Oryzias latipes: one gene and its partner. The main gene of each other region encodes a partner of the protein of the gene in region 2 in a complex. Links are inferred from orthologs where the notes say so. Each region holds a gene or a part of one and is shown on either strand. Other genes may lie near its edges.

Region 1 (4,948 bases), on a different chromosome or scaffold from region 2:
AAAGTTGCTTTTTTGTTTGTTTTTTTATCTTTTACATGCAGATAAGCACATTAAAATCAAAAGCACAGTGATAAGTGAAGGAAGGCTCACCATTTCCACCTTGAAACGTGCGTAAAAGCAGTTCAGTCTTTTCCACTTCAACCATCTGAAAAAAAAACTGTGCTTTAAATAAACAGAAACTGCAGGATGTTGTTGATGGTTTCGTTTGACCTGTCGTTAATATCAGCTGCAATAAACGAAAATTAAAATAACCTGGTTTCTGGTACACGGAAACAAAGTCATGTCACTTATATTTGAACGAAAAAGAAAAGAAGTCGACAAAATGCGTCTGCAAAATTTTTGCAGACCTTTTTTTGCCAAAAAAGGTTATCAACAGAGTTTTTAATTTCACGGTACCCTTACGTTACGGCTCTGCAGCAGCTGGACTCTGTAGAAAAGCTAAATCCTCACAGAGACTCGAGCGTGTTTTCCCCTCATTATCACTGTTAAGAAGACAGCCGATCCGACTATTTAGCAAAACTACTTGTTTTCCACCTCCGTTTTCATGCTTTGAGTTCGCGTTTGATACCTGGCGCTGGGATCTTCAATCTACGGAGAGTCGAATGGTCCAAAAAGCCCCGTTTTTAGTGGGATGAGGTCATTAAATGCATCTTTTTGGTTTGTTTGAGTAGGAAGGGATATTTAAGCCACCAGAACAGATAAACAACCAAATAAATAAGAATACAGTCGTAAAAGAAATTGTAAAGTTGTAAAATTATAAGTAAATGTCAAAATTTTATGAGGATAAAGTGGTACAATTATGAGTAAAATGTCAATATTTTACTAGAATAAAATTGTTAAAAAAGCCAAAAGTTGTAAAATTATGAGAGAAAAAAAATAAATCCTTTCCAAGAATAAAGTTATAAAATTTTGTAAAAGAAGTTGCAAACGTTCGAGTAAAAAATCCAAAATCTTACTGAGGTCGTACAGTTATTCAAAATAGAAATTGAAAATTATACTTCAGAAAATAATTATTTTACAAGGTCAAAGTCATGTTTTAAAAATAAAGTTTTTACAGTTAGCTTTTAAAATGTTTCAACAAAGACAATCAAATGTAACCTGTTTAGGCTTCTTTCTGTTGCAGGACATCACTGCTTAAGAACCTCTCTGAATCTGCCTTACATTTTTGTAAATGTATTTTCATAAATTTATCTTTATATTTAAAGAAAAAACAATTTTATTGTATAGTTATGACATTTTAAATCATAACTTTAAGATTTCATTCTAATAAATAATTGCCTTCTTTTAATTTTATGACTTTATTCTTGCAATATTTAGATTTTCCTATAATTTTATTCTCATATATTTATTGTATGGTGGCCCTAGCCTACTGAAATGCAAAAAAAAAAGGGAACTGCCATTTACTACAATTTAAGTGAAATTTTGCATTTTTGAAATAGTACAAAATTTACTTTAATTATCTTGACACAAATGCACTGTAACTCATCCATTCTCTTGAACTACTAGATCCCTTTGGAGGTTGAAAAGGAAAAAAACAAAAACAAATGTTAAGTTCCAAATATATTTATTAACATGCTCTTAAATGTAAAGCACAGTCTTTGAAGTGGCTGAGTGGCTCTTATGAGCACTTTCTTTGCAGCATTGAAAAATGTAATTTATATTTTGCCAATTATAAATTAAATTGTTTCAGATAAATCTTAGATTTTAAAATGTATAAAATCTTGGGCGTCTTCAAAAAATATTGGTATCATTGTACACAACACTACAGTTGTTTAAAAGTCAAAAATAAAGAAGTCAAAATAAAAGCCTCGAATTAACCAATATTACACCATCATCCCCCAATCTAATTTTTTAGCGCAAACAAAAATGTATTTGAACACATTTGGTTTTAATAAGCAGACATTGATCAAAAATCTTGAATGCACTATTTAATAATCTATGTAAGACCTGAACTGCAAAGAAACTACAACAGAAGTTCAGAAATCTTACAAAGGATTTCATTTAACTTAAAGATTGAAAAAAAAACAAAAATTCAATCTTTATGTGTGTTAGTCAAAACAAAAGTGTGTATACATTTTAATGTTATGTCAGTATAGTGAGAAATATTTTAACTGGTTTTTCCTCTTTATTTGCAAAGAGTTGCACATATTGCACCAATGTTATACTGTAAAAGCAGAAAGAGCAAACAGACATTTTTCTCCAAACACACTGGCACTCCAATCAAAGCAGTCTGCACCTCACATGTATATCTACAAAAGGAGTGAAAGAGACATCTAAAACACACAACCAAAAGGCATCGCTTCCCCTCAAACCGGCGAGTTCTCAAAGAAGCTAAATGTACCCTATAAGACTTAACTGTGCTCACAGTGACAAAAATAAAGTTTTTAAGCCTGGAATGTGATCTGATCTAAAATCCACACCTCAGAGTCATACTTTAAACTCATTTTATGAAGCGTGGCAAATACACAACCGTCCGGACGACTTAACAACGCACAAACTCCCCACTGATGCCAGCGCTACATTTAACACTTCATGTTTAAACAGCTTTAAGCCTCGCTTAAATACAGCCGAATGGGAATGCTAATCATTTTTTTCCACATAAATTAAGAAAAGAAAAAAAATTCTGTAACTAAATCCAGCAAAGCAAAACTTTTCAAAGAAATGTAGGTAAAAGTCAGAGAGACTTTGGTGTCGCACCCCCAAGCTGACACTTCATATATTTATATATATATTTAATTGAGCTCAACGAGACTCATTTAAACCGCAATGTGATCAAACAGCACCACCCAGTGGGTCTATAGAGTTCTGATTGAAGAAAAAAAAATAAAACAGTTGAGAATCGGACTGCAAAACATATGATTACATAAACAAGATTGTCTGTTTCCATGAGGAAAAAGCACAATTATGGTTATTACGTTTCAACTGTTTTAGGAGATTAAGATCAGATTCAATCTAGACAACATTAAATGGTTTGAAGATATTTTGACCACACACGTCCTGTACACATAGTCTCACACACACACACCATCATGTCCTCGGCTGGTACTGATCACACAGATGCCTTTAAAGGTGAAGGATAATTTGTTATTAAATTAAAATTCTTCCGACTACATCTCATCACTCCTTCAGCCCCCATCAGTCCCAATCCAGAGACGGCACTCTTTGACCGGCCACACTTTCCCGCTCTCGTCTTGGTGCTCCATCTGAGACGAGGTCCTTGTGAAGAGCTTGTGACTGATGCATGATGGGGGTTGTAGGACAAGCAGAAAGGCAGAGAGAGGCGCGTCCCAACAGGACAAGGCAGAGACATCACATGATTTCACAACACGAGTTCTGTTTCCGTGCCTGGAGGGTAAATAGAAGAACACACATGCCACGCTTGGTTTTTTTTGTAGAAATAGAACAACTTTTACATTTTTTTTTATTTAGGTAAGGACAGCTGAGCTAAAAGTCATCAGGACTTACAGTTTTGTAGAAGGCTTTTGACTGATTTCCCAGGTGCTCTGATTTTGCCACAAGATCATCCAGTTTCTCTCCTCTCTCCAGCAGACTTTCCATAGTATTGTGCTGCAGAAGACAACAGCTTTATTATCATAAAACAGAAACAGAGGTTCCAATGAGCTCATGACCCCCCCCCCAAAAAAAAAACAGGACAAATATTTATCCGATCTATTCCATTTTTGTTACTAATAAATTTATATTCCGTCTAAAAACAATAGATTTGTGAAGCATATTAGTGATTAATTGCTTACTATAGCACTTGAGCGTTGTTTTGAACACATTTATGCAAAAACTTATATTGACAAACTGCTAAAAGGTGCTTAAAATTTAATTACCAGCTAAATCAGTTGGTGGTTCAATTCTGGGCCTCAAAAAATAAGGAACAGTTTAGTGTTTGAAAAATGAATAAATGCAGTTAGTGGTGGAAAAAAGGTTTTAAGTGGGGATGTAAAGGATTCAGATACATGCAGATAAAAAAAAGACGGTGCGTGTAACAGCATTATCAGTTGAAAACCACAAATACAAGATTATGTTGGTAAAAAGCTATAAAATAGATCTGTAAGAACATGATCAGTTTGTGGAACTGTCAGATTCTCTTCCCGTTGTGTCTTTACTCGTCTTTTTCTGTACATGAGATTAAACAAAAAGACGTCCAATCACAAGCTTGCTTCCACCAAGTCAGATCCATTTCATTTGTCTGAAGACGTTCCACAGCGAAGGATGTGCCGTGTTTATTAAACCCTTCTTTTTCCAAAGCACTGCAAAAAATACCTGAATAAATTAAAGTCTACAGTCTAAAAGACCCGAAAGGCCAGTTTTAATGTTGAAGCTGAAGCCGTTGTTGCTGCTTGAAATCTAAAGTCAGTAGGAAAGAAAAAGAGTGTCTCTGTTAAAAGGCATGTTTGTTTATAGTTTTGAAAACGCCAAATACAGAACAAATATCTAGATTGTATCCATTTAGGTGAAAGAACTGGACTGTCACAAAGTTAATTAAATATTTTATTCATTGATTTGTGGACCATGTATGTATCGAATCCTGTGATGGGGAAAGATGTGCAGTTTTGAGAAATCAGAACCAGAAAAACATTCTATGATGCTGCGTCCAGAGCCCCGGGTTCTGCTGACCGTTAAACGTCCACAGATGGCATCTTTTTGAGCCTCTTGTTCAAAAATGGCAAAGACACTGTTTATTTCCACCTCTTAGTTTAAAGTCAAATTGCTTTAGTGTTTCTACAGTTTTATTTCACAGCGACAGAAAACACCAAATCTTCAAGGAAAAGTAGGGAAAAATAAAATATTAAAAAGAAAGAGTACTTTATAGTTCATAAAAGATATTTCTGCTCAAATAAAATAACCGTATAAAAGTGAATTCTAAATATGAAAAGGTATTTTTTTTTCTCACATGGATTGTCCATCTATGCTAGAAGAATTTAAAGTAAGCATTGAA
Region 2 (4,312 bases):
GAGAGAAGAAAAAACTGATAAAACTTCACCCGTCAGAGTTTCTTTTTTTCACGGTTCTATCTGCTTGGAGGTAATTGAGTTTGTGCAAATGCCCCCTAGGCGTGGAAGTCTTATAGGAGCACAGATCTCGAGGTTTCCAGACGTTTGGCTCTTTAGTTTTTATCAGAAATTCTTCTTGGTAGAAACGTTATAAAAAGGAGGACTTTAGGATGTGTTTGATGCCGATCATCTCTGTAAAGTTTCTTTTTTCTCATTGAAGTCTGAAACACTTGAAACTGTTTTTAAGCTGCTTTTCTGCCCACAGTTTAGCCAAAAAAGTGACGTTTCAGGGTCATTTTGTTATTAACATTAAAAACAGACGTCTTAATTGTTCACTATAATGAGAATTTCTCTCTTTCTTTGTTTTGTGTTTACAGGAGAAATAGACACCCGGTTTTCTTTCTGTGCTGTTGCCACACTTGCATTACTGGTATGTTTTTTATTTGTTCACAGTTTTTCATCCCAAAGCCCACCAATCTCTAAACTGCCTTTCACACTAATGCTGTTCTTTGAAGGGAAAGATGGAGATGATAAATGTTGACAGAGCTGTGGAGTTCGTCTTATCCTGCATGAACTTTGACGGCGGTTTTGGCTGCAGACCTGGTTCAGAGTCTCACGCTGGGCAGGTGAGGAACTAAAGAGTCATTTCTCTATGAAATAATAAGCAAAGCCTCACTTTTTAGTCCAAATAAAATACCAAATCAGGCCTTCTTCCACCACCTCACGTCATAACTCAGAGGTCTGATTAAGAAGCGGAGGCGTTCTCAGGAGGAAAAGTTTTCATGCTGGACTGTTATGTGTTTCTCTTCAAGCCTCAGTTGTGTTTCAAAAGTCTAAACCTGTTCTGGTTCTGGTCTCAGATCTACTGCTGCACCGGGTTCTTGTCTCTCACCGGCCAGCTGCACCAGCTGAACGCAGACCTGCTGGGCTGGTGGCTCTGCGAACGCCAGCTGCCGTCTGGAGGCCTCAACGGAAGGCCTGAGAAGGTTTGACAGCTTCTAACATGAAATCACAAATCTTTTTAGTTTCCTCGTGAACCAAACCTTAGTGCTGTTGAAGAAGATCATTGAACTCTTTTTCCCATGAGGACCAGCCCTCAGAAACCTGCCGGCGTTCTGAAAAATGTGTTTGTGTACACATTTCCTGTCATTCCCCTTTTTCCCTAAAAAGGAAAGTGAAGTGTGGTGGATCACAGAACACGTTTCTGCTGTTTGTCTGTGACACTGATGTCACCATGGGTTCCATGGGTTCCTATGAATTAAGTGAGAAAGAAACAGAACATGTGGTACTTGCTGTAACAACATTTCTGGGTTGGCTTCAAATATCAGCCCCTCCAGAATTTTCCGGGTCTTCCGATCAACTGCCTCCGACTCGGTCCAGCTGCTCTCATTTTGAACAAGTTTCACCATCAAAATTTCACAATTTACTGTGTGTGGGTTTAAAGAAATCTAGAGTCCAGGTTTTGGGGGTGAAATGAGCACATTTAATGTTATCGGACAGAAAGGAAAAGGTTTTCAAAGCATCACTGAGTCAGCTTTTTATTCTTTAGTTAAAATGTAACGTTTTAACGAAAAGATAATGTTTTTGTGTGAAGTTTGCTAAGCATGCTGCTGTTATTCCATTGTTCAGGTTTGACAAACACTCTTGAACAAACAAGGACAAAAAAAGATATCATTGTAAAGAAATCCCTGATGAAGAAGGACTTTCATCAGTGTGGAGCATTTCCTGTGACGGTGCATAAAGCTGCCCTTGGAAAATAAAACAGCTTTAGAATTTGTGTGCCATCCCTTTAGTTTGAAAAGTGTAGCAACTTTGATCACAACTTTGAAGGCAAAAACTAGCGGCGGCTTCAGGATTTTTGTGCTGCAATAATCACTGAAATAGCTGTGAGATCCTGAATTTTGTGATGTTGTGGTTTGAGTGGAAGACAGAGAAGAAGAACAGAGATTCCTCAAACACTCGCATTCTGTGGAGGAAAGAGATGAAGGCCTTTTGCCGCTTTAAGGCCAAACATCAAGTTTGCTCGCCGTTTTTTTCTTTTTCTTTTATGTACTACTGGCAGACGGCTGAAGCTGTGAATGTTTTGCACTCCTGGTCTCAAAGCCATCTGTCTTTGCAGCTTCCAGATGTCTGCTACTCCTGGTGGGTTTTGGCATCTCTGAAAATCATCGGTAGGATCCACTGGATCGACAAGTCCAGACTACGCCAGTTTATTCTGGCCTGTCAGGATGAGGAGACGGGAGGTTTTGCTGACAGACCAGGAGACATGGTGAGCTATCACACACATAAGAAGAAGAAGAAGCTATCCGACATGTCTGGACCTCCGTGGTTCTGTTTTTTTGAAGGTGGACCCTTTCCATACTCTGTTCGGGGTGGCTGGACTCTCCCTCCTGGGCGAGGAACAGGTCAAAGCGGTAAATCCGGTGTTGTGCATGCCAGAGGACGTGTTACAGAGGATCGGCCTGCAGCCGGACCTCCTCAGCTAGCCTCCAGATGCTCGGCATGTGTACGTGATGCTCCTCCGACCTCCACGCCTGGACAATGGAAGCAGAGACAGAAGCACGTTTCTCAGCCAGAGTTGAGTTCATTCATTGAACAAACGAGGAAAGTTTCCGTCATTCAACATTCCTGAAGCTCTCCACTGGATCAGTCCTGGAACATCTCTTGTCTCATTTCTGTCCTGTTTTTGTCCTTTTATCTCCGTAACAACTGCTGACCATCTGACATGTTGCTGTGGAAAAACCCCTGATACATTTAGTGAGGAAACGTTTCAGGAGAGGGCGACAAATCTATCATTTTTGATGTTTTAGAAGCTGAGACTGCCTCTCTCTGTTGTCTCATGTTTCTGCCTTCATGCTCCTGCAGCTGTGTTCATGGGCTTCAAAGCTGCAAAGACTGTTTCATGTCACTCAGCTTCAGAGAGTGTCGGCCGGCCTCAGAAGGCTCCGTTTTGATGCCACCTTGAATGTCTTCTCCACACTTCCAGCCACTATATTTATTAAAATGTGTCACTCTGTGAGCGTCTGAACGAAGCTCCAGGAAACTCTGTGCTCGGTCACTTTCTGCTCTTTATCTTGTGTGGGGAAGTTTTCAACCGTCTCCTCTCTGCCGTCACATTCAGGCTAAAACGATTCTACTTAATACAAGGAAAAGAAAACATGTTTTATCAGTAAGATTTTCTAAATCTAATAAGAGCTTTTCAAAACTTGAATTCAAATTTGATGAATAAGACAAATGCTCAATTACAGCCTCAATAAGTTTATGCTCTGTGTTAAAACACTTTAAATATTTTCAACTTTGACCTTCAGCAAATCAATGACCAGTGAAAACCCTTCAAACCTAAGTAATGATGTTTTTGTGTGTTTTATCCTCCTAATTATAATTATTTTGTTTTGGGAAACTCAGCCATCATGAATCATTGACATTTAGGAAGAGATTCACTCTTCAAGGACAGTTTCAGGAATCTAAATTCCATAAGTTCTATTTTTATGAAGAGATTATTCATTTAATTTGAAAGAGTTTTTTACCCCATAAATCTTTTGAGTTATTAGAAAAAAACAAAACATGCAGTTGAGCCATAAAACTGTAAATGTTCTTTTCTAAAAGCCTCATATTTACGCAGTAACCTTAAACCCAAACTCAACGTCAAACATTTTGTAGAAAAGCAGAAACATTTTTTGACATTTGGCTACCTTGTCAATGAATATCAGAATTCTGGTAAACGTGGTTAAAAGCCGTCTTCTAAATATGATTCTTTATTTGTCATTTGATGATGGATCATAATTGTATTTACAGCTAAACCTTCGCTCTGTTTCTCCTCTTCTTCAGTTCACCTAAGATCTGCACGAGCGAACATTTTAGAAAAAGAAATAAATAAAAATAAAAAAACCTCTAAGAAGTCAGAAATCAAACGTTAATTTCATGTAGATTTACCACAAGCTAGGAAGGGATTGGACAGAATAACGCTGTGAAGTCAATCATAAATAGTGCGAGTTATAAATATTTTTTTTTTCATCAAAATGCAGAATAACTGTAGCTTTTAGCCAATGCTCCCTTTCTATGTAAGATTCCCCTGCAGGATGTGCTGCTGGCAGACGCTGAACCACAGACCCGCTGCCGTCTGCAGACTGACAAATCTCTGTGGAGGTGATCCGTCCAGCACACAGGTGTGGCGTGTGCAGACTCCGCCCACGCAGAAGGATCACCATCCAGGTGTGGTCACATCAGTGGGGGTGCAGTAGCGCCATCTTCCAGGTCAAATTCCTCCATTAAG

What was found. The genes of interacting proteins can lie anywhere in the genome.
Region 1: the proteins of rabggtb (region 2) and ykt6 are in contact, whole or in part, in a crystal structure (PDB 6J7F), measured with the Homo sapiens proteins. The link is inferred for Oryzias latipes from reciprocal best matches to the Homo sapiens genes RABGGTB and YKT6. Residues at the interface, in NP_004573.2 of Homo sapiens: Thr3, Pro4, Gln5, Lys6, Asp7, Ile9, Lys11, Tyr37, Leu45, Trp52, Leu236, Asp238, Cys240, Arg281, Gly283, Asp284, Met285, Asp287, Phe289, His290; in NP_006546.1 of Homo sapiens: Lys60, Gln62, Asp63, Leu65, Asn83, Glu84, Tyr85, Pro86, Ser87, Leu153, Asn155, Thr156, Glu158, Arg189, Lys190, Cys194, Cys195.

Annotation. Positions count from the first base shown.
Region 1 is NC_019867.2:5,875,863-5,880,810, reverse strand, and holds the end of ykt6 (synaptobrevin homolog YKT6), read right to left. Parts: intron 3,568-4,948; coding exon 3,466-3,567; intron 3,346-3,465; coding exon 3,310-3,345; 3' UTR 1,548-3,309; downstream 1-1,547. UniProt on the Homo sapiens protein: Vesicular soluble NSF attachment protein receptor (v-SNARE) mediating vesicle docking and fusion to a specific acceptor cellular compartment. Functions in endoplasmic reticulum to Golgi transport; as part of a SNARE complex composed of GOSR1, GOSR2 and STX5.
Region 2 is NC_019875.2:3,791,127-3,795,438, forward strand, and holds the end of rabggtb (geranylgeranyl transferase type-2 subunit beta), read left to right. Parts: intron 1-416; coding exon 417-469; intron 470-554; coding exon 555-665; intron 666-899; coding exon 900-1,025; intron 1,026-2,158; coding exon 2,159-2,308; intron 2,309-2,384; coding exon 2,385-2,525; 3' UTR 2,526-3,085; downstream 3,086-4,312. UniProt on the Homo sapiens protein: Catalyzes the transfer of a geranylgeranyl moiety from geranylgeranyl diphosphate to both cysteines of Rab proteins with the C-terminal sequence -XXCC, -XCXC and -CCXX, such as RAB1A, RAB3A, RAB5A and RAB7A.